Rattus norvegicus: one gene and its partner. The protein of the gene in region 2 binds, or shares a complex with, the protein of the main gene of each other region. Links are inferred from orthologs where the notes say so. Each region holds a gene or a part of one and is shown on either strand. Other genes may lie near its edges. The genes, in order: Adat2 and Adat3.

Evidence for each region.
Region 1: the proteins of Adat3 (region 2) and Adat2 are in contact, whole or in part, in a crystal structure (PDB 9HMM), measured with the Mus musculus proteins. The link is inferred for Rattus norvegicus from reciprocal best matches to the Homo sapiens genes ADAT3 and ADAT2. Residues at the interface, in NP_001094076.1 of Mus musculus: Val217, Ala218, Pro220, Leu221, His223, Ile229, Asp230, Ala233, Gln236, Gly237, Glu270, Ser272, Pro274, Val276, Val290, Met291, Met294, Ala295, His298, Ala299, Pro311, Asp312, Leu318, Phe319, Val321, Arg324, Asp326, Leu327, Asn328, Pro349; in NP_080024.3 of Mus musculus: Val62, Asn63, Lys66, Asn67, Ala68, Thr69, His71, Met74, Ile77, Leu81, His85, Pro91, Cys107, Ile108, Met109, Ala112, Ala113, Leu116, Met117, Arg130, Phe131, Val137, Leu138, Ile140, Asp144, Leu145, Pro146, Asn147, Thr148.

What each region holds. Positions count from the first base shown.
Region 1 is NC_086019.1:9,765,663-9,779,110, forward strand, and holds the start of Adat2 (tRNA-specific adenosine deaminase 2), read left to right. Parts: upstream 1-9,017; 5' UTR 9,018-9,107; coding exon 9,108-9,203; intron 9,204-11,568; exon of another isoform or gene 11,569-12,665; intron 12,666-12,762; coding exon 12,763-12,867; intron 12,868-13,448. Other genes in the region: Pex3 (peroxisomal biogenesis factor 3), read right to left, coding at 2,204-2,335, 8,662-8,734. UniProt on the Homo sapiens protein: Probably participates in deamination of adenosine-34 to inosine in many tRNAs.
Region 2 is NC_086025.1:9,751,334-9,767,984, forward strand, and holds Adat3 (probable inactive tRNA-specific adenosine deaminase-like protein 3), read right to left. Parts: upstream 9,795-16,651; 5' UTR 9,766-9,794; coding exon 8,716-9,765; 3' UTR 8,425-8,715; downstream 1-8,424. Other genes in the region: Scamp4 (secretory carrier-associated membrane protein 4), read right to left, coding at 1,819-1,998, 3,808-3,925, 5,096-5,197, 6,322-6,478, 6,711-6,839, 7,338-7,344.

The DNA of each region.
Region 1 (13,448 bases), on a different chromosome or scaffold from region 2:
GCTAATCACATTATTTGCATCCTCTTGTAAATGCATACCAGGAAGTTAGTTTGTCAAGCTTTTTAGAGAACTTGTATTTTACCTTCATGCTATGCTATTTTTAATTGTCTGCAGTCTGGTATCTGCTGAGGGTTGTGGTGGTCACGACATGCGTCAGCTCCACCTTCTAAGAGCAGTGAAATGAAGCAGCAGATTCATTACTGTGTTCACATCTCTTAGCCCATGAGTACTCTTGTGGGAACTCCTCTACCAGGGAACTGGACCTGGTAACTCACCAAGCTTTCTTAGACTGGGAAGAATCATTTCAGGCTTTTAATTTTTTAGACACAGTCTCACTATAGCTGTATTGGAACATGGTTGGCCTTGAACCCATAAAGAACTGTTTGTCTCTGCCTTCTGTTAGTCTCTGGGGCTAAAAGTATGGACCACTGTGCCTGGCTCTGGTATTTCTTACCTCCACTTCTTCCTTCCCCAAGTGTCAGAGACCTTCTTTCCTGTTCCTCCTCCCTCTCTACTATTCTTCATAGGCATTTCCCCCAAGCATTGCTTGTACATCTTCCCATTTGATTCTGGGAGGCGCAATATGACACAGGGTTTTGCCAAAGTGAGAGGTATTTTGAGATCCCAAAAGTGACCTTTTACTATTTTGTGAAAACTTGCACAATCATCTGAAGCAGACTTCACACTCTCTCACCACTCACTGACATGTCCTCAGTAGCACCGCATGTTCAAGGTGATTTTTAAGTCCACGCGCCGAGTGTCTATGTGCCAAGCATCTTATGTGGGGAATCTCACTGTCTTCTCACACACTACTTCTCTACTTTAAACAGGGACTAGCTATATGGCCCTGCTGCCATCAAACAGTCCTCCTGCCTAAGTGTCCCAAGTGCTAGGACGTGGATCAAACTCCAGGGCTTTGTGCGTGCTAGGCAAGCACCATCACCAGCTGAGCTATATCCCGGGTCCTTCACAATACATTTCTGAAGGAAGTTTTATAAAGGTCATTTTACAGGAAGAGCTGAGGTTCAGATTAGCCCAAAGAACACAGATTATACAACTTAAACTGGAAACTGATCTGGTGGTATCAGCCTCCCGAGAGCCCCAGTCATCCTGGCTGTGCGCATGCGCTGTCATTATGGCCAGTACTTCTGAATAGGGTTTCACAGAACCCTATATAAACCCAAAAATAAACTCGCATATAGCTGTGAACTTATCTTCTCTTTGACCTTAGCTTTTCCTCTATAACGTGAGGTAAGTGAGCTAGCAATAAGGTCCTCTCGGATCTAGAGAAAAGCCTACTCGTAGAGCGGAATGAGATACACTGAGCTTTGTAAATTCCCTCTAAGGTAGCCTTTAAAGAAATGTCAGAGAGAAAAAAACAGGCTTTAAACAGTAGAAGGAGCAGACTTGACGTAGATTTGAGAAACTGGTTTTCCAGGCATCACCCCAGTTAGAACCTAACTCCTTACTCTCTTCAAACTGAGCAGACTGACTGTATTGTGGCCTTTTCCCAGTAGGTTTCTGGCTCTGGTAGTTACATTATTACCATTAATTAAGTGATTGAGCAGACACTGTCGCGGAATGCTTATGTCCTACAGTGTCCTGCTGGAGACCTAATAGGCTTTGGGCTCTGTGCTGTGACCTACGAGGCCGCATGGGTGGGTCAGGCCTTTCTCCACAGCTTTGCTTCCTAGCACTCATCTGCTTTCCCTTGCTGCAGTGCCTGTGTGCTGTTCTTGTAATGTTTCTAGCATGTTCTCCTCTCAGGCATTTTCTCTCCATATTGTACCATGAGACTTTACAGCACAGGCCATCTGGTCAGAGGCACGAGCCCCCGACCACACTCTGCAGAGGTGTCCACTCCTCCCAGCTTTCCTTTCTGTACTGGGTCCACTGCAGCCTAAGGTTACCTTTGTGCTGTTTGCTGTCTTTCCACTAGAACCTGCTGGAGCTCAGGGGATCTTACTCTGTTTACTGCCTACTCACTCAGGGGCAGGCACTGTGAATATCTGCTGAATGAATGCATAAGTGAGTATTTATACGGCTTTAAAAATTCACGTGGAAATTACATATCTCTGTTAACAGGACTATTGGGTAGGTTTATCACACGTTCCTCATCTTTCCCATACACTGGAGCCTGAGGCTATGAATTAATACAAACCAACAAGCACTTTAACATAGATACATATATGCGTCTGCTTACCTGTCATATTGCAAGTCCTCTGGTTACTTTCAAAATGGTACTGTCGCCGAGCTTGGGCAATGTACTCTGCAGCTTCTCTTTCTTGTATTTCTCTAAGTTTTTTCTGTCCATATTTTCCCAGGATATAGACTCCTAAAAGTCATTTAAAAAACAAAACAAAACAAAACAAAGTAGTATATTAACTGGAGTACTAAAAATTCTAACCAATATTTTAAGCACTTTTGATTAAATCATGAGGTTGATACTAGGGACAAGCTGAAAATACAGTTTCTAAAAGACTTTTATTAAAGAACTGAAAAGGGAAAGGAGATACAGTGTTTACTTATATATTTATTTATTTATTTTACATGCATATAATATATTTTAATATAGCTAGTAAAAAAAGAAGACATTAACAGACAAGAAGCAGAAAGGCATTGGATTTATAAAGTCTGGCAGCATCTTTAATAGTTAATTGAAAATATTCTAAACATTCAGCAACGGAGGGTTATTTAAATAAATTATGATCTGTTCACATAATGGTATCTTATGTAGTTATTAAAAACCACATTGCTAAATAGTTAATGAGTCGAGGAAAGATCTACCTCATACTATTAGGTGATAAAATAACATCCAGGAAGTCTGTGTTTTAATGGAACAGATACACAGAAAAGTACATACTTAATTTCTAAAGTAAGATAAACTGTGATAATTGCGATTGTGTTTGCTTTTCTATATTTTCCATGTTGTCGTCAATGGCCACATAACTTTAAAAATCTCTACAGTAAAAGATTTAAAGGAATGAGAGAAGGGTATATCGTCAGGAAGACATGCATTTATCCACCCCTGTATTAGAAAAACATCTGAGAAAATAAGAAAATATAACTTACGCTGTCTACAAACTACTAATTCAAATGACAAAGGAAACAGGAAGACAGCACCGTAACACAACGGTGTAAAATATGGCAGGGTTGTGTGGTCTTCAGCACAGGATGTAAGGGGGTGCATTTTTGTCATCTACTGGGTGAGTGGCCATTGGTTTTCTTAACTGGGAATCTGATGAGCATTCAGTGTTAAACGTGGTGAGGATGCAGCGGCAGTCGAATCTCCTTTATTTTGGTCAGTTCCACACATGTAACAGCGCACTGAGATCACAGTCACCACTGCCCTGCTCCCCACTCTCACTTCTCTCCACTCCTGTGCTCCACTACTTTCCTCAGGCAGTCCCCCACACAAGATGGCTTGTTTTAACTAACTATCTCGGATTGGCATCAGAGGGTTTACTAAACAGTACAATGGATAGCAGAAGTGGATTCACGGACTATTTCAGTAAGCGTTTAAGAACTTGATGAGCTGAAACATTTTAGTACCATTTCTATAAACATGGACGCAAGGCCTTTTTCCTCAGGGATGGCTTAACCTGGAACCCAGAAAAGTCCTCCAAATCCAACAAGTTACAGCAATGACAGAGTTGCCTTTGTTTTGGGTACATGATTTTGTCATAGTGCCAAAGGTCAGAATTCAACAAGCTTATAGAAGAGGCTGTGTTATTGTTTCATTTTTGTTTGCTAATAAGTATCAATGTGTGCCAGAGCTTGATTTCATTATAAATCCTAGCAGCAAGGGCTCAGAGGGCTAACCATCATTCATTTATCTCCTCTGTCTGGGGCTTATACTATCTCCTAAAAGGCCTCAAGAATTATGCCTAACATAGTTGGATTAGGTCTGTTTCTCACAAGCAAGGACAAGGTAGACATCAGGAGCTGCAAAGCAAATATATCCTAAATTATTTTCACTAAATCAGATGTTGTGGATGATTTAAGATGTTATGTATCTTTAGATGGTTCCATAAAATTGTGTGCTGAATAGGAATAGTATGGTTGTTGTTACTACACATACAAATACATGCATTATAATTAAGCTCCAAGAGCAAAGAGAAATCAATAAATGCTGTTCATTGGCTGTCTTTTCTGTAACATCACAGCAGCACAGCCATTAGAATAAGAGAGGCATATGGGGCTCATGCCCATAAGTCCAGTTGAGGCAGGAGGGCTTTTTACCATTTTGAGGGGAACCTGGGATATACTGTGAGAACCTATTCCCCTTCCCTCACCACAAAGATCCCAAGAGAATGAAGAAACTGACTTAAATTTAGCAAAGTGACCCTCCAACAGGCAATTCTGGTTCACCTAGTTCTGAACATACTGCTTGTACCTTATCTCCATAACATATTACTGAAGGTTACACACACAGTGATTATTATCTCTCAAGTTATGTTGCAAAATGAATCGTTGATGTGACACTCTTTACTTGGTAAGTGCAGTATATTCTAGCTAAAGCTAGAATGGGCTTAATTGTGTGCACTGCTGTCCCGTGCCACAGGCTGATATACTGAACCTGAGAACAAAAGGTCAATACAAAGTGAGATCAGTGGGCCTCAATCCCACACGGCCAGTCCTGAGAGGAAGGTAAAAGGTAGACAGAGATATGTACAAAGGAAAGACAATTTGAAGGCTTCTGGAAGTTCTCTGTGGCTTTCCAGCAGTCAGTATTCAGTTGCAGAAGCCAGTGTGAAACAAGATGGCCACCACATGGCACAGCCTAGTAGGATCCCTTTCACAGGACGGAAGGAACAAACCCACAGACACCTTGATCAGGACTATTAACTTCAAAAGTATAAGATGAATTTTAGTTTTGTAAGTTTCTCACTTGGTAGGTTTCATTATGGAAGCCCTAGAAAAGTCACACATGAAATTGGGCTTAAGTCCTAGACAAACTGTTTTTCTTGAGTTAGCACTGATATTTCGAGTCAAGGTCTAGTTCACTTAGGATCTCATATATAAAAATCACAAACTGACTTCTTCTAATGTTTCTCTAGGAAACACTAATGAAAGAAAGAAAACTGCCATTAGCTAAGACAGACTTAAGACTGCCTCCGCTTCACTGGCAATGTGACGTGAACCAGCCAGCTGGTGAGGTGACTTGGAGCAGGCAGCTTACTCCTCTGCATAGACATCTTTTTCATGTGTAAAATCAAATAGCTGTAAATTTCCTCTGTAGTATAGCTACAATAATCTTCATTATTAGCAATTAAAATATCTACTAAATACCAAAAAAAAAAAAAAGCGAAAATGTTTTGATGTTTCCTTTCATGGCCAGTTAAGCAAAATATCTTTGTATAAATCATTTGTTTTAAAACCATCTCTTAGTTTTGTCTTCCAGGAGAAAAGTTCCTATAGCACAACTACTTTCAATAACAATTTGAAAATAATCCATCAACATTGCTTCCAATCAAGCAGATTCCCAATTTCTAATGTTTGCATTCTATTTCAATCTTTTTTCAGTGCTGAGTAGTGAACTTGTCCATTTGGTGACATCTCCATTTCAGCATTGAGGCGTTCCTGAACTATACTCTACACCTGAAGAAATAGAATCTGAAGGAAGGAGTCTATATTTTTCTGAAGCACTTTAAATGGTTTTCATCCATAGCAAAGACTGAGAAGCAAGTGCACACAGATCCTGCCCGCATTACACACAATGGCATAGTAAGGAAGGCATTCACAGTGTGGATTACTTTATTTCCATGTATGCTCTCCAGACTATAGCCCAGTAGAGTTAGAGTAGGCCTTATTCTTGTTCAAACGGAAAGTCGATAAATGACAAAAAAAAAAAAATCCCTAAAGAGGTTAAAAATTCCAAGGCTTAAGATATAACTCCATGTTCTGTGCTTTTAAAAAATCACCAGATATTAAGTGGGAATCCAGTTCCTCTGTTCTGTGACACTTTCGCTTATCCAGTGGTTTTCAAAGTATGGTCCTGGCATCCCTGGGGTCAGTTTAGGGATCCGTGAGGTCCACAAATATTTGTGTCATACTGAGATGTTGGGACTGGCATCCTGAGTGTTCACTGGAGGATTTTAGTAGCTATTTAATGGGAGGCATCATACATGACTACAGAAGGGATGAGAATTTAGCTTTCTTCAGTTAAGCCAAACTAAAGACCTTTGCAATTGTAAAATAATGCCATTCTTCTCACTAATTTCCAAAAATGTTTCATATTAATATTTAATAGGCTTATTGTTGTTACCTTAAATGAGCTAATACCTTTGGTTTTAACCTTAAATTCTCAAGTAGATATAGAATTCAGGAGGCTGTTGGGGGGGGTGCTCTTAATTTCTAATAGTATAAAGATTTCCCATCAAACAGTTTGAGAACCACTGTTCTTCTCCCGCCTCAAGCGGTCTAACTGTGTGAATGGACAAGCAGCAATTACCATCCGAAATGTAGGGAAGAAGGAATTCTGACTTTAGAAGCCACACAACTCAAAGTTCTGCCTTGCTGTGTTTTTCCAGCACTAAATATCTCTTTTGATCATGCATAATAACACTTTAATCAGCTTCCAAAATGTGTCACTCCTCTTATGAAATCTGCCTCATTTTAAGTAACTCCAGGTTGCTGCATACTACTGGGCTCTGTATTCAACTCTACCGTGGTCTGTAAACAGTATTTTACTTATCTCTTCATTCTTTAAACATTAAACAATCTGCTAAGGCAGAGTAGTAGAGTAATGAATGATAATATGTGTTGGGATCTAACACACTTGGGATTGAATTCTTATTTCCTTATTAGTAACTCAAACTCTTAGCAAGTTTCTTAGGGTGTGGGAACTCTAGTTTCTACATTTAAAATATGGCCAAATAATAAGTATCCTGCTGTCATTTCCAGAAGTTGGAAAGAACTTAGTATGCTGTTCAACATTCAGTGAGTCTCTAATAAATATATGATTAAAAATACATATATTATACCTATTCAATCATACTGTCCCCAGCAGTATAATCACTTAATAAATATTTCTTAAAATGTAGGATAGGAATTTCCTCAAAATACAGAAAAATATGAACTCTGTACAAAAAAAGGTTAAGTTCAGCTATTTCAAAACTTTCTATTTTGCTAAAAACCAACAGTGTTTCCACTACACCTCTGAATCTTTCCCCCTCCCTTTTGTTGTTGTTGTGTTTTGTTTTCTGTTTACCTATTTCTGTTTTTTGAGACAGGGTCTCATTATGAAGCTCTGGGTATTCTGGAACTCACTGTATAGACCACACCTCCACTCAGAGAGCTGCCTGCCTCTGCCTACAAATGCTGGGATTGAGGGTGTGTGCCACCACTCCCAGTTTTTTCCCTTCCTCTTAATCTCCAATTATAAAGCTCTCAATAGAGTTTCAAAAAAAACTTATTACTTAACCACATACTCTTTAATTTCTCCTATGACTATTTCTGATCTGTCATTAACTGCTTCATAAACCATAAGGGTTAGGCTCTCTTCTCTGAAATTGCTAGGGACAATTTTCTTTACTTAGGTAGAGCAAAAATTTTTCTTAATATGTCTTCCATGACACATACGACTTTATCTTCAACATATGTATTCTACAATATGGGTACAATTTATTAGAGAATAGAGGTAATATAAAACATATTTTATCTATAGAATATTTCCTAAGGGTGATTATTAACTATTAGCCATTTGTGCTATACCTTAAAGATATGCAGAACATGGTCATTGCCTTATTAATGATCTAATATTTTAAGTCACTTTATGATATAATTTAAGATATATATATATACATACACACACACATATATATATAGTGATAACATTTCTTAAAACTTAATTTTTTTAAACTTCCTTTTTGTGTTGTTCAAAAGATTCCCTTCTTTAAAGACCTTTAATTATGAACTGAGGGTTGTCTTACCAAGACAAAGGGTTTAAAGCAGTGTGTGTGTGTGTGTGTGTGTGTGTGTGTGTGCTGCTAGTTCCCTGGGATCCAACGCAGTCAGCCTAGGCAAGTGCTCTACCACAATGTTACAATTCCAGCATCATGATATTTTATCCTAGGTGTTTCTAACTTTCCTCTCAGCCAGTGAACTCAACTGTATCACCAAAAAGACAATGACCACAACCTTGCCAGTCCTGGCAACACTGCAGAATAACCCAGTCAAGCATTGTGTTGATACATACTTTGTATTTTAAAATTTGGGAATGGAGACTATCTACTGTATACCTTACAGCAACATGCTGTTTTTAATGTACCTTTAAACACCGCATCAAAGAGCAGACTTAAGCTAATTGCCCTAGAATATTTCGAAACTCGTGTGAAAGGTTGAAAGCAGAGTTGACAAACAGAAAGAAAAATCTATCAGGAAGGCAAAGAAGAGAATTGGAAGGCAATGTATCTATACGAGAATAGTGCTTTGAAAATAAACTTCATTGGGGGTAGATTCCTGAAGGCCCGTGAGGGAAAAAGGACAGGGTCAGAATGAGGGGTAAAGGGCACAGAGAGGGAAGATAAAAGAACTTTTTGACAGTTGGGCCAATCCCTTCGACAAATCCAGAACTACTATCAGGGGGCCCTGTCTGTTTTATGTCACCTGTCACTCCTTTCTGCCAATGGCCCCTTCTAAAACCGTGTTGTCACTCACCTCCAAGGACTGTGCCCAGGAAGATGCATTTCTTTTTGTGACGTTTCAGAAAATTCCACATTGATCTCAGCATCTTCAGACCCCGGGTTGTGTGGGTTGCCTAGGGGAGAGGGACTGGCTCACCAGGAAACCGTGTCTTCCGTCAATCTGGCCCGGATCTCTGGCAGAAGCGAGGTGGCGGCGCTAGGTGCTCTTCAGAAACCCCAAACGTTTCTTTGCGCAGAGGCTGTAGCCAGAGCGGAGGAAGGGGGCGTGGACTACAGCGGAGCAGCAACGCTTACGGTCCCCTAGCCCCGGCTTACTGATCCGGACCTGGGTCCGTCCGCAAATAGCTCCCGGGTGCCTCGCCCTTTTCCGTCTTCCCGGAAGCAAGGGCCCGCGCCCGCCGCGTTCCGCTGTCCTCTTTCCTCCAGTCCCTTGGCCCGGAGTCTCTGAGAGAAGGCGATATGGAAGAGAAAGTGGAGTCCACCACTGTTCCAGACGGCTCGTGCGTGGTGTCCGTACAGGAGACCGAAAAGTGGATGGAGGAGGCGATGCGAATGGTGAGGAACCCGGCAGGTGGATGCCGAGAGTGCAAACTTTCTCCCGGCCACATCCTGACCAGAGTAGTTTGAGCAAATGTGCCTGGCGCGCTTTCTCATCACCATTATATATGGGCTCTCAAAATACCTGAAGCAACAGCTTGTTTTATTCTAGAGGAATTTTCTTTAGCTTTGTCTCATAGTAATTGGAGTTGAGGGAAATTACAGAGACTGTTTGATTGATGTGTAGTATGTATTACAGGGAGCCTTAGCTGCTGCCTGGGGATACGTACTACCCAAATGCCTACCTTCCTTTCCATGTGGACACATATTTTCCACATTATTTTATGGCTTGCTCCCGACGCCCTTGAACATATATAATGGAAGGAAGCTGATGTTTCTGGAAGAGGGTCATATCAAAACATACCCCAGTATAATCCTCACCGATGATGTATTTACGCTTTCTATAGTACTTTTCTCTGCCCTTGTATTTCCTTCCCGCAATCCCTTTAGGATTGCTCATTATGGAGGGCCCTGGTCGTATTTACATGTTTTTCCAAGCTTATTACCCATATTGATGTGCGGCAAGGATATATATGTATGTATGCACAGTCTTTCTGATGCTGGGTTTTCATTCTGTGAACATCATGGAATTTGTTTACATCATTGTGAAGGCCTTAAAAACTAAGCTCAGCCTTTGATGTAGGGATGTTATTTTTGCTTATTCGTTTACAAAATTGAAATTTTCAACGTTTCCTTCTAATGGTTACGGAAGTTCACATTGATAAGAAATTAAAGTCTAGAACATTTAACAAATTATGTAAAAGTTACTTAAAAGCCCTGACCTCAGAGATAGCCCTGCTGATATTTTGTAAGCACCCTTCATATATTTCTGTCCCTGTGAAAACAGAAACATGCTCTCCGCCCCCTCCCCCAAAATAGCATAATTCATTCTTTTTTTTTAATTAACCTTTTTTTTTTTTTTGGTCATTTTTCTCAGAGCCTGGGGTGGGAGGAAGAGAGCCTTTATTCTTCTGTTCTTGAGTTGAGAATTTGTTGGTTTAAGGAAGACCAAGTCGCCATTTCCATTTCAGTGGAAGAGCTTTGACCTCTTCCAAAGAAGGCTAGCTTCTTAAGTTCAAAGCCATGTACCCAGTTAGACCTATTTTGACCCAGCTCTTTTGCATTTGTGACAAGAGAAAGGGACTAACTGGAAGAGTTGGGAGGGGCATTGGAAAATCTGAGATTGGATGTGGGTTTTCAGCTTCGAGTTTTGAACTTGTCAGTAGAGGAAATGCATGCACATTTGTATGTGTATGTGTACTGGGAAGCAATTCCTCTAAATCGACCTCCACAGACCGCTTTCTTTGGGCGTCACTTTCTCTCAACTGCCACTCCATTTGCTCAGCTACTCCCTAGCATCCTGGCCTACAAGTCGTGCCTTATCAATTATGTTCTATGTCTCTTTAAGGTAATCCTGTCACTTCTAGTGAGATAAATTTTGCTGGAAGGAAAAAAAAAAAGAGAGGACCCAGAGGCACTAGGTACCAAGAAGCCCAGTACTCTGTTGACCTGGGAGCAGAGAAAGGCTGCCAAGACAAGCAGTGTTCTGGAGCATGTCGGATGCACTGTGGATAATGCTTTAGGCATTCCCTACCTATGTGCTTCCTACCATGTTGGGGAGTTTTAAAATAAGTTATTATTTGTGCATGTGTATGTGTGGAGAGGGTGCATCTGTGTGTGTGCTCGCATGTGTCTGAGGACTACAGAACAACTTTTGGGAGGAGAGATATTTTTCTCCTTCCACTGTGGGTTCTGGGGATGGGACTCATCCTCACGCCTTCACAGCAAGCCCTGCTGAGCCATCTTGCTGGCCCAGTCTTTGATTCTCTTCTGTATGTTCGGAGCTGCTCTTGGCATTGTATCTCCTGACATCGCATTCAGTGGTCCAGGATGCAGGCTCACCAGAAGCCTTATCGCGCATCCCTCCCTCTTACTACTCCCTCTCCTCCGAACCAAAACTCTGATGAAGGGTCTAGTCAGTGAAGCCGAACGGGTTACTAAAGAGGCTTCGGAGAGAGAGAGCGATGCAAAGAACCCAGCACCTGACACTAATAGTTGTTCCAACTATTAATGGAGTAATGACTTTTATTCCAGATGTCTTAGATGGCTAAGTTATTTGACCTCCCTGCTTTGGTTTCCTTATCCAATGATGCTCAGTGCCCCTATCACATTCGGATTATACACGAAAGGAATTTATAGTTACAAAATGCTCAAAATAGTCCCAGACCAAACCATGCACATGCGTGCATACACACACACACACACACACACACACACACACACACACACACACACACACACACACAGCTAGTTAGATTTTCAACCTATGCATCTTGAGATGTAGACATGGCATTACCTCTTAAGAGTTCTGTTGGGAGGTACAGTGGAACACTGAAAATCTGAGCCCTGGGAAGTCATTTCTTCAAGCCATTGCTTTTCATTTCCGCCGCTCCACCTGAAATTCCTCTGTCTCGGCCTTGACACCACTGACACCGCCTTTCTTTTTGGCCTGCATTTTCCTAGGGTCTTCTACACAGTCAACAGATCTGCCTGACTCTTCATCAGTAGGCTTGCTACATCCTTCTTTAGCTCAGTTACTGACTTTTCCCTTTTACATAATTGTAAGCCACAGGAAACTGCAAAAAGTGTGCACAGAGAGGGCCCAGGCATTCAATGTTCTTCAGTGTCACACCTTGTCTAACTGTTGCTTCACTATCAGAACCAGGGAAATCTCATTGGAAGACTCTGAAGAACTTATTAAAGTCTCATCAGCTTAGTGTGTGTGTGTGTGTGTGTGTGTGTGTGTGTGTGTGTGTGTGTGTGTATGTGTGTGTGTGTGTGTGTGTGTGTGTGTGTGTGTGTGTATGTGTGTGTGTGTGTGTGTGTGTATGCGTGCGTGCAACATGGATCATAGATTTTTGTGAATATTTATTTTTTTAAAAACTTCCAATGTATTTTCCAAGTTGGTGTCATCGTTACATAAAATATCCCTAAATTTCCATGTGTCTCTTAGAATAAAAGTTGTGGGAAAGAGTGACATCCAGTCTGATCATTTTTATGGTATTGATACTCTATGGGATCATATCTACAATCTTAGAGAAGCTTAAAAGAATTAATCAAGTAGAAGTTTATCAAGGCAAAGTATTATAGCCAAATATTTACACATGTTATATATTCTCCCACCTCTTTGCAAATATGGGTATCATCTCTGAGAAGGGGCGGCCTTGGTATTTTAGGAACACTGGTCAAAAGCCATTGATTACTCAGACTTTCGGTGAGAGAAAATGAGGCGCAGGACCTGGGAAGGGAGACATCCCTGAGTTCTCCTTAACACAGACACCCAGCAGAGAACACAGCACATCACAGTCCAAAGACACCAGCGTTGAGACGGGGAAAGCACAGCTGTGTCTGTTTGCCCAGGTCATTGTCCACCCCTCGGTTCCCACTGCGTCTGTTTTTATCCACAGCCTTCTGAGCGCTGAGCGGCACCTCTCAGCTTTTCCACTTTGTGTTTCAGGCCAAAGAAGCACTCGAGAATATTGAAGTTCCTGTCGGCTGCCTCATGGTCTATAACAATGAAGTTGTGGGGAAGGGAAGAAATGAAGTGAATCAAACAAAAAACGTGAGTGGAGCACTGAGAACACAGAAGCATACTATGGCCACGGTGGGGCCAGTTGGCAAGACAAGAGCCAATGTGTCCTCTGGGGCAGTTCCCTGCCCCGCCTCCCGCTTAGTGTGTGTGTGTGTGTGTGTGTGTGTGTGTGTGTGTGTGTGTGTAGGCTGTGGAACAGTTCCTGCTGTCCCCCTCCCATATGTGTGTGTTTGTAGTGTGTGTGCGAACGCTAGTGCGTGTGCATGAAGGATGCAGGTTGAGGTCAAGATGTCTTCCTCTATCACTTTCCACCTGGTATCGTGAGGCAGTGTCCCTCCCTGCACCGGGAGCTCATCAGTTCAGCTCAGCTAGCTGCTAGCAAACCCTAGGGATCCCTGCTTTTCCTGTGTTCTGCACTGGGGTTGTCTATGGAATATATGGCTGTGTTTGGGTAGTCTCATGGGTTTTGGAGAGTCTAGATTCCCGTTCTCTTCCCCTGAAAGCACCTTACTTAAGAAACCATCTCTCCAGCCCTAGATCTTTTCTCTTCCTTTGTAAATTATTATTTTTTTCCCTGATTGGAACAATGATGCAATGACTTTTGTTTTGTT
Region 2 (16,651 bases):
GAAAAAGAAAAAAAAATACTAGAAGATTAAAAGAAAAAGAAGCAGAGACTGGGTCACAGCGTGTGGTCGTATTAGGGACTTTGGAGACAGGGCTCAGTGTACGAGGGCGAGGGCGAGGGCGGTGTGAGTAGAGCAGAGGGACCTTGGCCATGTTCTAGTAAGGGAGCCTGTAGAGCACAAAGGGCCCCTTGGTCTGAGAGCAGTCAAGAGTGTCCCCTGGTGGCTGAAGGCAGAATGTCACCATAATCATAGAGAGGATGGGGTGGGAACTTTAGAACTATGGGGTTATTATCCCGGTCCTGTGGGAACTGTCACTCCTATGTGTGGTGATGAATTGTGTGTAGAGACAAGCTTACAGGGGAAGTGTCAGTAAGCTGGTTGTCACTGGCCTTGTAGACGATCGCCCCATCCCCCACCTGTGGTCCTTCTCACGGCAGGCACCTGTCTGCTTCTCTGCTTCTAGGCAATTGGTCCAGGACTACCCTAGCACCAAGCTCATGGATATCCTCTGGAACAACACCATTTCCATGGGGTCTTCTCTGAAGCCTTTTTGAGAGAGTCCCATGTAGCCTAGGCAGGCTTTCAGCTTGTCACGTAGCCCAGGATAACCCTGAAGTCTTACGTTCGGGACGTGTGTGTGTCACTATGTATGCTTGGCATCCAGGTAAACACAGAACATGGGGGACTTGCCTAGGATCCTGGCCCTGGGCAGGCAGAGGCAGGAGGATTCTTGTAGCTCACTGGCCAGCCAGTCTCAGAAGAGCAAGGTGGATGGCAACAGAAAGCAGGGGGTAAGGTCAACCTCTAGGCTCAATCCTGCAGACACACAGCATGCCTTCCTATACAGATAGAAGCCCTGCTGCAGAAAGAGAATTTATTTCCAGAATATTCTCACATAACAAAACCAACTATGGCATGTGGGCGCACATACCCAGGGGTGGCAGGGAAGAGCTGTAGGTCACAGGTGTCACCTATGGCGGGCACGTGACTCCATGCCCGCCACTCTGAGATGGGATAGAGACCAGGTGCCCAGACAGTTTGGCATGATACTGGCACATGAGGACATGGCCCTGCAGGGAGGCCTTGGGGACTCAGTGACTTGGCTGGTAGCATCAGGTCGCAAGGAAGAACACTGAGTCCAGTGTCATCAGAGGTGCTGTGGACACTCCAAGACTCAGTTCGGTTCTCTTGACCAAGGCCACAGCTGCCCAGGAAGGCAGAGGATGTGGGGAGGAAGCACAGGTCTCTCTAAGGCACAGGGGTGTCCCGGCAATCCTGCTGCTGGGGGTATGGCCTGCCATGCAACAGAGCTGGTCCCTCTCCTCCACTTGCCCACAGAGAGGCCAGAGTACCCTTGACCAAGTGAAGTGCAAGTGGGCAGAGCTCTACTCAGGATCCTGGGTGTTGGAAGGGACAGCAGGTTGTCACTGTCACAAGGGGTGGGACAAGGACATAGCAGGACCCAGAGGAACATGGGTATAGTGGACGGCAGAGGACACAGGTACAACCGCCACACTCCTGACTGTCCACTCACACTCATCTACACACGTGCACTGGGCTTAGTTACACATATCTCCGTAACAAAGGCCAGGGGCTTGGGGGCTGAGGCCTCTCCTTGCGCAGGCTGGAGCAGGGCAAACACAGCCGGGCTCGCAGGATGGCAGTGGACAGTGGCTGCTGGGCAGTGCTTGCTTAGGGTCTGACAAGAGATGAACACGGACGGGCCAAGGACCTCCTGGGACCCTGGGGAGATGCTCAGGCCTCAAGATCAAGGGTGGTAGCAGGAGACAGAGCATAGTGCTGGGGCCAGCCAGCCGCCTAAGGCCACTGGCCTCCACTGGTTGAGTAGCTGGGGACAGTGGGGTACTCAGGCAGGCTGTTCCCAGAGAAACTGTTAAACTGGGCCTCCCTGGACGGCGGGTTCCTCCAGGTGCCAGCACTCCACTCTGTTTGTGCCTTCTGGAGGCTTCCGCCAGCCCCACGGTAGATCCTGTGTACCTGTCGGTCAGGGACAAGGATAGAGAAAAGTCAGTGCACTGGCAGGGACAGGGACCCAGTGTGAACCCTGAGTGACACTGCAGGGCAGTGCAGGACCTGGTGGCTCATCTCCACACTGCTGCCTCCATAGCCCACAGGACACCCCAATTCAACAAGCAGGCACACGCCACCCCACTGTGACACCTTGTGTGATCTCTGACTGTATTTCTATGGCCCTCGAGGGAGACAGCAATGGTGGCATAGGACAGATGGATGTGCCCACCTCATCTCTGCACTTGGGAAGCGGAGACTCAGTGAAGCAGCAATGGAAGGTGACTCTGGGATAAACAGATGCTGTTATTTAAAAGGTCGCACACCTTTAATCTTGGAGCTCCGGAGGCAGAGGCAAGAGGATCCAGGACAGATAAGGCTACATAGTGAGACCCTGTCTCAGAAATAAATGAAAACTCAGGTGGGCTCATGTAGGGGCAGGGCAGGGGGACCTGTGTGAGTCCCAGGTCAGCCAAGGCTAAACAATGAAGCCCTGGGCTGGGGTACAGCTCAGTGTGGAGAGCACTCGTCCTGGGCCCCACCCACCCCAGCACCACACAAACCAGGGACACACAGCTGTCATCCCAGCATTCTGGAGTTAGAGGCAGAATCAGAAGCTCAAGGTCATCTTTGGCCAGCCTGGCCTTCCAGGTTTGCCCAGCGAAGTGTGGCCTTGTGTGCTTCGCCTGGCCTCTCTGTGTTTGGAATCCTCTTAAGAGTTCTTAGCCTGGGAAGTGAGGTGGCCCATGCAGGGACACCTGCCATCTCTAGCTTGACAGGGTGGCTCTGGCACTTGGAGAGTGATCCTGTCACCCCAAGCAGGGCTATATAATATATATATATATATATATATATATATATATATATATATATATACACACACACACACACACATACATATACACACACACACACACACACACACACACACACTATAAGGACGCCATGGGCCATCTTGTACACTCCAAGACCCCAGGCCTCGCTGCAAGGCCTGAGCTGCTCAAGGCTATACATTCAACCTCAGGAATGGAAAAGTGCCTCTGCGCTGGGCAGGGTGGCACATGACCTCCACATTTGAAAGGCCTGGACCGGGGTTGGGGATTTAGCTCAGCGGTAGAGCGCTTGCCTAGCGAGCGCAAGGCCCTAGGTTCGGTCCCCAGCTCCGGAAAAAAAAAAAAAGAAAGGCCCGGACCCATGCCCACAAACCAGATCGCATGCACGCACATGCACGCGCGCGCGCACACACACGCATGCGCGCTCGCGGTTTATCTTGGGGCTGAAAGCACTGACTGCTCTCCCAGAGGTCCTGAGTTCAATTCCCAGCAACCACATGGTGGCTCACAACCATCTGTAATGGGATCTGATGCCTTCTTCTGGTGTGTCTGAAGACAGCGACAGTGTACTTATATATAATACATAAATCTTAAAAAAAAAAAAGGTTGATCTTGTTCCGTGCAGGCAGCTCTGTCCCCACAGCTGTCCATGGCAGACCCATGTTGTCCCTGGAGGCACATGTCTGCTGCAGGTCACCTCGCTGGCCTGCGGAGGCCTCCTACCCTCCCCACAGGAAGGCTCCTGAGCCTAAACCATTGGTGCCAGTGACACTCCTTGTCCTCCTCTAGGATGAGGCCATGGGTCCCCCACAAACCCTGTGAATTCCCAGGAAACAAGATCCCCATCACAGCCTGCAGCCGAAGACATGGGGTGTTCTGTGTAACTCATGCCCACAGGATGAGGTAAAAGAAGTTTTAGGACAGAGACTGAGCACAGAGAACTCACCTTCACAATAGTGATGGCCATCACGACAGCGGATAAGGAAAACATGATGGCTGGGATCAGCATCACCACAGCAGCCCCAACGCTGGTCCCAAAGAACCCAATGGTGGCCAGCCAACCACTGCAGATGAGAGAGGGCTCAGCACATGGAGAAGGGCATGCTATCCTCCATATGCAAAGAGCTCTGACAAATCAACAAGGAATCGGTAAATAAGGCCAATTCTCCTTCATATGTACTGAGCTCCAACAGATTATTGAGAATAAAACTTTGAAGAAGCCAGGTTCCGTTAAGGACCAGAAAGTGACTGGTCAACCCAAATTGAGGGTTACCCAGAAAACTTAACCATTTGGCAGGCTTCAGTTCCTAGAATACACTGCGAACAGGAAACATTATGTCAAGGCCTCAGTGCCTCCTACAGATCAGGATGGCATCTGCACCCTGAACTAAAACTTAAGAGACCAAATTGGTGGGTCTCAGTGGGACATACCTGTCATTCAGGCATTCAGGAGGGGACACAGGAGGAAAGAGCTCAAGGTCACCCTTGTGTATGTATACAATTTCAGGCCAGCCTAGGCTACTAGAGACCCTGTCTCAAAAATTAAACCAAACAAAACAGATACGGGACTTTGCCCTTGTTTGTCTGGGACAGGGTTTCTCTGTGTAGCCCTGGCTGTCCTTGAACTCAGAGCTCTGCCACGCGTGAGGGGTCATCTGTTTGGTAGGGACTGCAGGCTGGAGGCAATTTCCTAGACTTGTTCCCAGTGCCCAGCATGTGCCTGCCTGTGTGTGTGTGTGTGTGTGTGTGTGTGTGTGTGTGTGTGTGTGTCAGTATCCCCATGGTACAGCCCATCCAACCTGAGAATGCCACCTGCCGATCTGAGGCAGGCACTGACGCCATGGTGATGGCATGGGTGACAGGGATGGGGTGGGGGAGCATGGTTCATGAGAAAGGTAAGAGGACACCTGGGGGCCTTATATGAACTTTGACTAGGACACACAGAAGAAAGGAACACTCAGACCCAGTGGCCCATGCCTTCATCCCAGCACTCAGGAGAGCCAGGCAGGTAAACCTCTTTAAGTTCCAGGCCAGCCAAGCTACATAGGAGGTGTTCTAAACAGGCCTGGGAGCAGCTGGGCAGCGCCCCCTGCTGGTGGCTCACGGCACAGGCCTTTTTCTTTCCACACTCCTAAGGTACTGGAGGGCGCCCTCTCTCCGAGGGGCAAGCCCTGGACCCATGCTGGGAGACTCTCACACAGGCATACAGAGACCGCATCCCTCTGTCTGCTTACCACGCGCCCCAGCCCGAGAAGCCGATGGCCTGAATGACAGTCAGCACAAACTGGGCTCCAAAGATGAAGAAGAATGCCATGAAGTTAAAGGAGCTGTCGGCTCTGCAAATGACAGAAGATGCCGGGTCACCTACACTCCCTGAGGAGGGGGGGACCCAGCAGGGGGAGGACTGTGTCACTTCCCTTGTCCTTGATGGCCTGAAATAACCACGGCCCTCCTCCAAGCACTCAGCCTGGGGTGCCACAGGGAGGATTGGAGCCCCAGCGTCATGGAGACTGCCTAACGCCTTGTCACCATGAGAGTGAAGGGCCATCCTCGGGCTACTTCTGGGCGTGGAAGGTGTGCCTGTGCTCCTGCTATGGAGACTTGGCTGAGCAGACATCGGTCTCACTGAGGAGCCCTCCTGGCCTTCCCTACTCTGTACCTCAGGCACCACACAAGAGCAAACACAGCTCACTCGGATGAGCCAGCTGAGGACATCTGCGCATGGACAGATGGTGAACACAGCAGGGTCTATCTACCCACAGGCTAGAGTACTGTGAGGCCCCAACAGGAGCAAGGCCCTGGCACACGAGAAACAAGCACGGAAGGCTACACGCGTTTGTGGCTTCATACTAGAAAGTGTCCAAAACGGGCAAATCTAGAGATAGGAAGTGGAATTGTGGAGGCTGGTTTGCATTTGGGGTGATAGAATCTTCTAGAAGCAAGCACTAAAGCTAACCACAGCACTCCAACACTGAGGTACTCAGTAGCCGGGAAACCACAGTGCGTGCACGACACAATGCTCAGTAAAGCCATTATTAAAACTTAAACTAGGATAGAGGTGCTTGCTGCCAAGCACGACAGCCTGGCTTTGATCCCACCACTCACCTGTCCTGTGACTGCTACAGCAGTGACATGGCACATGCACACTCGTGTGTCTCTGTGTACAAGCCTGTGACCATACCTCCCCACAGTGACACTGCACATCAAAGAATCGAGGGAGGGAGAGAAGGAGGGCTCACAAGCTGCTTGCTTAGTATCTCACACCCTGGGCTCCATCCCATCGACAGTGGTGGCGATGGCCTGTGGTCACTGTGACATAAATGGCCACCTACCCTGGATAAGTGGGAGACAACTTCCTAACAGGTCCCCAGGACCTCCATGGACCTCCAACTCTCAGCATGCCCGCCCCACAGGGTGGGTCTGAGGTCCTGTGGCCTGAGGGCCCCTGGACCAGGCTTACCGGAAGGCCTTGTAGGCAGGCCGGAACCAGCACACATAGCTGCAGGGAGTGAAGAGAACAAGCCAGAGCATGGCCAGGCCAAAATTGGCACCCGCTCCGCCCGCAATCCACCAGGCCAGGCAGGCCACTAGGTTTACACCCAGCGTGGTGCAGTAAACTGGAGGGGACACAGATGGAATAGGAGGTCAGTTACCAGGGGAGTCCCAGGGGACAGGTATGAGACTTGGGACAAAAGGCCAAGCCCAGGGACCCTCCCTACCAGACATTAAGGATGAGCCTCGTGCAGGGACCAGGGTCTTGAACGTCCCAAGGAGCACAACACTGCTGCACTTGGTGGGGACACTGCTAGGGTGGCCCGCCCACCTGCCCGCCCTCCTGGAGAGGCTCACACATCCACAGCCGGTAGATCCTCTTCACCAGCACCTGGTGCTCCACCGGGATCTCATCAGAGAAGTCCTGGTAGAAGCAGGGCTTCAGCGGCAGGAAGTGAGGCAGCGGGGGGAAGTTGTTCTCCTTTCCTGTAGGAAGGAGACCCCCAGGTAGCCCGACAGCCAATGCCTGACAGAGCCCCCTCCCCACTTCAGGTATAGCCCTGCAGGATCAGCCAGACACTCTCTGGGCTGCAGACAGAATCACATACCAGCACTGCATGTGTTTGGGGGAGTAGAGGAAAAGAAGGCCCCAGAGAGTAGCCACAGTCAGTATAAAGGCCCTGGAGTCTGCACTCAGTGTCCAGGAGTTGTTGGGCTAGCAATGGGCTACCAATGAGGTAGACCGCCAGCGGTCCTTCCATAGCCCCTAGAGTAGTGGGCAGAGTTCTCTAAGCTCTCTAGCTTTACCCCCCGCCCCACATCTGCAAGCTGGAGGATGATGGTTCTTTGGTGGCCTATCTGTGCCCCACTGTAGCACCCAAGGTGTCCCAAGGCGGAAGCCAGGGAGGCCAGGTCAGCTCTACAACCAGCTCAGGAGTCTCAGTGGGCGTGGGGGACACTACCTGGAGAGCAGGGCAGACTCACCTGCCATTTCTGTGTCAGCTGACCTGGCACCCAGGCAGAAGGGGCCACCTGAAAGAAGACTTGTATTAGGGACTTGGTAGCCAGGGGACCAGGAAGGCCTCACCCAGCCCACTGCTGCAGGTTCCGATGCGTAGGCCAGCCAGCCTGCTGCTGGCTCAGGGTTGGACCTCACTTCTCAGAGCACACCCGGAGAGGACAGGCCAAGCCACCAGCTGATGTCACCCATAGCCTTAGAGCCAAGATGTCCTAGTCTCAGTGGCCTCACAGATGGCTTCAGAGCCTGCTGACACAGCCCTCAGTACTCCTGTCCTATCGAGTCACCCAGAACAGAGCTCCCTGCCATGTGGTAGGCTCCAGCTTGGGTGTGAAACTCACCTGTGGGCTCTCAATGGGAGCCTGGACAGGCCCAGGGGCACCTATCAGCTACTTTCCTAAGTAGCTCTGCTCCTAAGTGCCACCTTCAAGATGGGCCAGGCGCAGCCCCACAGCGTTTCAGGTGAGGAAGTGACGGGACACCCTGGCCTCCAAGTTCAGGCCCTGCTCAACCAGGTGTCACTGGTACCACAGTCCCACAGAGCCTCAGGTCGGGCTGCTCACAGACCTGCCTCAAAGCCTCTTCCTGTCCCACCCTGCCTCTTGGTTACTGAAGCATGGCTCCCAAGAAGAGCACTGCTTTCCCTTAGAGGAAGAAGGCTAGAAGGACTCTGAAGATGCAGACAGAACCCCAGCCTCACTTCTGCTCTAGGCGGGGCCTTGCCTTTCCTGTCTGAGGCCAGAAGGTGCACAGCCAACCCTGCCACCGCTCCTGAGGGCAGCTTGGTATTTGCAGGCACCACACTTAGACCGATCCTTCTGGAGCGCCTGCCCTCCCCTCCCTCATGAAGAGGCACACAGGATGGCCATGAACAGACCCCAGGTCAACAGGCACCCAGACACAGACGAAACCTTAGAATCCAGGGACAGGCAAGGGCACCTGCTGGGTTGTTTCTGACCCTGGACGCACTCAGCAGGGCTGCCCATTCCCTTCACAAGCTATAGCCTGAGGCAGACGTCAAACCCAGCCTGGCACCTGAGTGCAAATGGGAACTTGGTTTGAGGTGCTTTATTTTCACACTCGATGGCTGCTCCCTGCCCCGAGCCTAGAGGACCACCACGGGGACTCTAAGGCAGCCACTGGGCTTGCAAGCAGAGCAGAGCCCCACGGTGTCGCAGCCACCAGAGAAGCTGCAGTCTCGAAACTGAGAGGCCCACAGTCTGGCACAGGTGGTCAGTGTCCTCAGACACAGAGGGCGGGACCCCAGGCCCAAGGCCATGGAGCTGCAGGGGATGCGGGCTGGCCAGGAGCAGAGAATGGTCTAGAAGCAGAAGGTCACGAGGCCTACGGGTCGGGGTCCAGCTGGCGGCACTGGTCCTCGAGGATGCCGCGGAACACCTGGAAGCGGTGGTTGAGGTCTGGCCGAGCGTGGACACGGAAGCGCGTGCCCAAGGCGCCATCGGGTGAGGGCGCCCCATAGAAGACACGCTGGATACGGGCGTGGACGAGGGCCATGGCGCACATGACACAGGGCTCTCGGGTGACGTACAGGTCATAACCGGTGCACACATAGGGCAGGCTATCTTCGTCCAGCTTGCGCACGCTACCAGCACGGGCGCTCTGAGTGGCAGTGGCCTGTGTGAAGGAGCAAGCTGGGTGGCGTCTGAGGTCGCAGGAGCCTCGGCCCTGCCCCTGGGCCACCAGGTCGATGCATACCATGACGGCGTGCAGCAAGGGGCTGGCTTCGCTGCAGCAGTCATGGCCTGTGGCCAACACATGGTCCGAGGCTGGGTCCACCACGACGGCACCCACTGCCCGCAGCCCCTGCGCGGCTGCCCTCTGGGCCGCACGTACTGCCCGTTCCATGTGGGTCTGCATGGCGGCTCGAGCCTGCGCAGAGAAGAGTTGCCCGGCCAAAGCACTGGTCACCTGCTTGTCTTCATGGAAGGATGTGGGCCAGTGGGCCCGCGCCTCCTCAAACTGGCTCCGGGTAAGGGGCGGCCGGGCAGGCACAGGCACCAAGAAAGGTGTGCCCAGGCCGCGCGGGTCCACGGCCGGCCTCGGAAGGAGCTCGGCCAGCGAGCGCGGGCCCGCGGACGGCCCGGCCAGGCACAACAGCAGATCCGACGAGTGCGCACCGCCTGCACTGCGGCTGGGGCGCACCCGTTTGAGGTGGGGCTGGGCAGGAAGTGGATAGACAGCAGACACCTCCCGGAGGAGGCGGGACGTCTGGCGCTTGTCCAGGACAGGTGCAGCGTAGGCCAGTACCAGCTCCACGGCCCCCGACTGCTGCTCCGACAGGACAGGGAGGGCTTGCCACTGCGCCGGCTCTTGCTCCTCACTTTCAACCTTCTCAGGCCCAGGTTGCTCTGCAAAGCCTGAGGTGGGCTCCATCCTCAGCGGGGCTCGACTGTGGGAGACAGAGATGGGACTGGAGCATCATCCGTCAGCTTCAGTGGGGCGGGGGTCTGTCCTGGGATGCCGTGGGTCCCGCCAGGCCCAGGAATGAGGAGTCCAGAGCGCCAGGTAGAGTTGGCTTACTCCCCGGCCACATAAGGAAAAACCATGCCGGTCTCTTCGGGGCTCTGACAAGTCCACATGCACCCAACAGACGCCATGTTGAGGACAGTGTGGAGACAGGCATTCATTACTATGAAACCCAAAACCCACCTCAAGCAGCATGCACAAAGCCCTGGCTTCCAGACATGGCCCGAGTAAACCAGGCCTGGTGGTACCCTGTCATCCCAGGAGGTGAAGGTCGGAGGATCAGCAGCTCATGGTGATTTTAAAACCAGCCCTATGAATGGCTACATGAAACCTTGTCTCTAGCCAAAAACAAAAACAAAAGAACAAAACCCAGAACAGCTGCTGACATGCTCTGGCTGGCTTCAAGTCCTCAGACCTATAGTCAGAAGGAAGGCCTGCAACAGACTCATGGGACCCTTGAGTAGATGAGACCTGCAGAGAGAGGATGTGTGCACGCAGATCCTGGCTCTGGCCAAGCTGCTAAATGTCCCATTTTCTACACAGTGAAAATATATAAATGGAGAATGGGGTTCAGAATCACCCCCCAAAACACATAGTTAGACTGACAGTGAACCTGACCCCAGGTGGTTTCTATGGGACATGCTATGGCAGTCTACCTGGTAGCACACACCAGAACCTGTGGGGCAGAAACAGGAAGACGGCTGTAAGCTGGAGGCCAGCCAGTCAGAACTACAGAGCAAGACCCCATCTCAATCCTCTGTACCCCAGAAAAAGGTGGGTGGCAGGCCTAAGATGCTCCCTAGAATGCAGACCCTGCCAAGAAAGGAAGGCATGTGCCCATGAACTGCTTCCACGGTGGACCTGTGCTCACCTGTATGGCCTGTCCAAGTTAGCCCACTTCCTGTTTCAGTGGGCTAGCCTGGGAACCTAGTTATCCATGGGACCTGAGCTTTCAGACAATGCTCACGGCCTGCTGTGCAAGCCCGGTAAACCCTGAGCCGACACTACCACCGGTTACACATGGGGAAACTCAGGCTCCCCAAAGCCAGTGAGGGCTGAGGTGACAGCCGACATCACCACCACTTGGTTACACACAGGAGCCAGTGAGAGCGAGCGAGGCTTTGGGAATCCTCTCAGGCCTCAGGAGCTTCTCATTGCTCAGGCACAGCTAAGAAAGGGCAAAATGGGACTGGAGAGATGGCTCAGCGGTTAAGAGCACTGACTACGGGGTTGGGGATTTAGCTCAGTGGTAGAGCTGGGTTCGGTCCCCAGCTCCGAAAAAAAGAAAAAAAAAAAAGCACTGACTGCTCTTCCCGAGGTCCTGAGTTCAATTCCCAGCAACCACATGGTGGTTCACAACCATCTGTAATGGGATCCGATGCCCTCTTCTGGTGTGTCTGAGTAGTACGGTGTAATAAATTAATTAATTAATTAAAAAAAAAGGGCAAAATAGCAAATCTGAGAAGGACCTGGTTCTCTGCTGCTGACCCTTCTCGCCATCCATAGTCCTCAAATCTTCGCCTCGGCTGACAACCTGCCCCACCTTGCCCTGACAGCTAACCACTGGCAATAAGGCCTAGCAATCCTCAAAGCAGGCCTAGAATCCCCAATACCCCCAGGAGGGGATCGGGTGTAGCTCAATGGTAGGAATCTGTCTGTCCTGCTTAAACCCTGAGTTGAATGTGGAGCACTAAACAAACAAATTAAAAGGAAAGAGAGAAGTGCCTATGAGGTGACCTGCTGCCTGCCTGTAGTGGGCTTGGCTACACTACCCAACATCACCCCCACACCCTGCTGGACCCACGGATGGAGATGGACTCTGGTACATCCGTTGGCTTTCAGGGCTCACCCCAGCTGCATAGATCAACACTGAATGGCTCTATGGGCTAACTAGAGGATCACAGGGGCAACCTGGAGCCCTCAGACTAGGAAGTCAGAACAGCATCAAGTAAGCGTGTCTGAGAGCCTGGTATCACCATGGCAGGCAGAGCCCATGAGGGGCATGGGGACAGCTGGCCTCCCCAGAGTATACACCACGCCTACGACACACAGAGCCTGCCTGGGCCACAAAGCACCACTGTTTCCAGGGCAGAAGACACAGCCTTGTTTGTCCCATCAAGACTACAACAGGGGACACAGAAAGAAGGCTGCTGCCTTGGGAACAGACAGCCTGGGCTTACAGACCTCTGGGGAGTTTAATAACTATAGGATGGTAGCCCCTCGTGTTCATGGCTATAGAGTCCCATTCTGTATGTTTGCTTTCCTGTGTTGTTTTGAGACCGTGAAACCAGCTTCATCCTCTGGTCACCAGGTCACTCACGTTGGGGCAGAAGTGAATACCAGCATGAATGGCTCCCTTGTTTTAGGTGACAGGTGCCTACTGTTCATCAGCATGGGAACAGGTTTGAAAGCGGCTCCTCGTGCCACAGACAGGGACCTCCCCTCCACCAGACACTCTCACAGGCTTAGGAAGCCACCTTTAAGGAACCTCATTCCCTCTGCAATGAACAACTGCAGGCAAATAATGGGCCTCGGCTCCAGGGTCACCATGGCTAGACTGGCTACAAGGGGCAGGAAACAGCACCACTGCATCAGGTCTGGAAGCACAGGCCCGAAATACCAAGCACTCAATAAGCCACTAGAGAGGAAGATGTTGAGTTTTCGGCCAGCAAAACCTTCCAAAATAAAAAATAAAGAGGGCTCGGGGCAGAGTTCAGCAGTGGAGAGCCTACCTATATCCTAGAATGAGAGGCTGAAGCTTGGTTCAGGGGTAGAGCCCTTGCCTAAATCACCCAGTGAGGGGATAGGGTGTGGCGCAGGGGTAGAGCCCCTGCCCAGAATCCTTCACTGAGGGGCTGGGCATAAAAATAAGCAAAGCTCCTGGAATTCGCTTCTGAAGGGAGCGGACGTGGATCAATAGTACAGTGCCAGTCTAATATAACCAAAGTCCAGGATTCGATCCCTGGTACCACCAAAGATACCTCAAGAATGCCCATAAGTACCAGAGCTTAAAGGGAAACTGCACACCTGCCGTATAGATGGTGAACTGATAACCCTGAGGCAGGGGACTGTGATGACCCGGAACATACAACCGGAAGCAGCTGGAAATCACGGGGTTTCCGGAATCAGAAGTAGGGTACACGCGTGCGCCGCAAACCGACGGCGTGGGGCGCGGTGGGCGCAAAGCCCTGTGCGCACGCGTACTAGCGTTGACTGCGAGCGCACGCGCACCCCCACCACCTCCCGGGACGCACGCAACACTAGTACTCAACGCGGGCTGCCCGGACAAGGCCTTCTTTCCCCTGTCCACCGCCCGTTCCTCATCGCCATCCCCGGCGCCCCATGTCAGATACGGAACGGCGGAAGCCGAACCCTTACGGCGGCTGCTCACCTGAGGGACACCCGCGCGAACGCCACGCTTATCCTAGTCCTAGCAACCGGGCCGCCACGCCTGCTGCCGCGGGGCACGACGGGAGCGTAGTTCCATGGGCGGGGCCTGTGAGATATGACGGCAGAGCCTCGACTACATTTCCCTTAAGGCCGTGCGCGTGAATGCTTCACCCAGCCTTGCTGAGTCTGGGGACTTTTCTCCTGTGTGCTGCAGTGAACTCGACCCCTGCGTGACACTTCGAGACATCAGCAGAAAGAAGACTTGAGGCAGAAGGAGACTCTATGGCCGTCTATAGTCACTCAAAGAGCATCTGCCATCATACTTCTGTAAAGTCCCATGTTGGTGCTGAACAATCTCTTCTACTGCTTGAAAGGTGACTGTGGTCCGAGGCCCTCATTTTCCTCATCTGTACAATGGGTGAAACAAATATGTGAACTCCTGAATAAAAAATAAGATTGGCGCTGAGACTGTAGCACGGTTCGTGGAGTGTTTGCCTAGTACCCAGGAGACCCTGGATTCCATCCATAGCACAGCTGATGGCACAAGCTGGTCATGCCAGCACTCTGTGGGTGGACACAAGAGATCAGAAGTTCAAGGTGGTTGGGGTGAGGGCCTTTAATCCCAGCACTTGGGAGGCAGACGCAGGCAGATCTCTGTGAGTCCCAGGATATCCAGGACAACATGTCTTGAAAAAGGAGATCCTGTCTTCAAAAAAACAAAAAACAAACAAAAAAAGACGAAAGAAAATAAATGAACAAGTAATAGAGGCAGGAGAGATGGCCTAACATTAATACTTTTAGTTAATTACTAATTGTTTTACATAGTCTCACTGTGTAGCCTTGTCTGCCTAAAAAGTCATACCCAGGCCAGAGTTCCTGAGTCTCTCCCAGGGCCCTTCTTCCTCTGGGGCTCAGAAATCGAGACATAAACAGCAGACAGTCTGGCTGAACAACCAGCCAGGAAGGTGGAAAGTGGCGTCAGAGAGCCCAGGGTCTCCAGGATCAGCCTATTTGCAATCTTCTAGGTCTGTCTACTACACACAACCTTTCTGGAATAAGGAGTGTCTTGTGACCAGCTATCAGAGCAGAGTAGGTCCCATAGGATTGGTTTATGGCCACTTGCAAGACAGATAATTTGGGAGATTTGTGTGGATGTGGCCAGCATTACAAAACTAGAACCCTTGTGCAGTATCTGGCTTCCAGGAAGCCATGTGAACCAAGGGTCTTGGAAGGAAAACCAAGGGTTTGGGTCACCACAAAAAAAAAAGCCACCATGGGGGCTGGAGAGATGGCTCAGTGGTTAAGAGCACTGACTGCTCTTCCAGAGGACGAAGGTTCAGATCCCAGCACCTTAGGTGCTCACAGCCATACCTAACTCTAATTCCAGAAAATCCAGTGCCCTTTCAAGACCTCTATGGGCACAAGGCAATACATACATGCAGGCAAGGTACCAGTTTACATAAAATAAATATTTTTTAAAATGCTCTGCCAGGCTTTTCCAACTTGGGCCCGGCAGAGTGGTGCCTGCAAAGAAAGGTGGCGAGAAGAAGAAGGGCCATTCTGCCATCAAGGAGGTGGTGACCCAAGAATACACCATCAACATTCACAAGCGCATCCATGGAGTGGGCTTCAAGAAGCGTGCTCCTCGGGCTCTCAAAGAAATTCGGAAATTTGCCATGAAGGAGATGGGGACTCCAGATGTGCCCATAGACACCAGGCTGAATAAAGCCATCTGGGCCAAAGGAATAAGGAATGTTAAGGAATGTTCCATACCACATCGGAGTACATTTGTCCAGAAAGCGTAATGAGGATGAGGATTCATCAAACAAGCTCTACACACTGGTAACTTCTGTGCCTGTTACCACATTCAAAAATCTACAGACGGTCAATGTGGATGAGAACTAACTGCTGAATGTCAAAGTTACAGAACTGCCCCCCCCCCCAAAATGCTCTGCCAGGGTTGGAGAGGCAGCTTGCCAAAGGGGAACCCTATTATCCCAGAAGACCCTGGTTTGATTCCCTGTAGCCACATGGTGGCTCACAACCATCTATAACTGCAGCTATAAGGAATGGAATGCCTTCTATTGGCCTGGATAGGCTGGCATATATTACACAGACAGATAGATATGCAGGCAAACGCTCATATGTATACAATGAAAATAAACAAGTTTTCTAAGAGATGCTATGCAAGGGAGCTAGAGCGGTGGCTCAGGGGTTAAAAGGACCATGTGTCAGCTTGTACCTGCTAGGTAACTGTAGGGGATCCAACACCATCACACAGACAAACATGAAGGCAAAACATCAATACATATAAAATAAAAATAAAGAAGTTGTCTTTAGTAGCTTAGGAAGTCCCTGAAACTGAGCAGATTCACTAGGCTCCTCCCTCCTCAAGCTTATATAAGCCTTAAAAACTGCTAAGGGACACTATTAGACTAGTAGACATGCCTAGAACAGGCAGAGACTAGCTTAACTGAATGTAAGGGACACTCTCCCCTCCAACCTATTGAGCTGACTGCAGGCTGTGCAGTGCGCTCCAGGTCCCCAGCTTTCCTGCGCAGGGTAGCAGATTGGGCTTTGAGTCTGTTCTGCTACTCTAAGTAGTCCACCATCCATACTCTTGCAAATAACCCCAATAAAACTAATGGTTCACCAAGCTTGACTTTGGTAGTGTCCTTGGTTTGGGCTGTGACTGTCCCTGTTTGAAGCGAACGAACAGGTAATTGTTTACTTATCCCGAGGAAGAGGGTCACCTTCTATCTGCACAGAAGATTCTGGGCAGGAGGTCTACCTCTGAGGCACACCCTAAAGCCTATTTATCCTTTAATTTTTTTTTACTTCGGTTTGTTTATTTCTTTATGTGCCAGGCAGTGGTGGCACTCACCTTTAAACCCAGCACTTGGGAGGCAGAGGCAGATAGATCTCTGTGAGTTTGAGGCTTGATCTACAGTGTGAATTCCAGAAAAAAATGGGGACGTTGGTGAAGGGGAACTCAAAGAGGACTGAGAGCTTGGTCATGGAGCCCCACCTAGAATTCCTCAGTAAGGGGCTGTGGTTGTGGTCAGGGTTGGAGCCTTGCCTAGAATCCCCCAGTGACGGGCTGGGAGGCGTGGCTCAGTGTGATTTCTTCCCTGTTTTGTGAAAGACCTTTGGTTTGATCACAAAAATACAGGGGCATAGATTTCATGCACTGGGTTTGAGGGAAGGACTAATCCTGGGTCTAGGGAAGCAGCTGGAGGGTCCTCTGCCTGCCCTGCACTCCCCTTCCAGTCCATCAGTCATCTTCATGACCCCTCACTTCCTGCCTTGCCTCTCCAGTCTCTACAGGAAGAATCCCACTCCCAGCCCCTTGAAATCCCCCATGATCTGGGCACATCTAGATAGGAACTCTCAAAATGCAGCT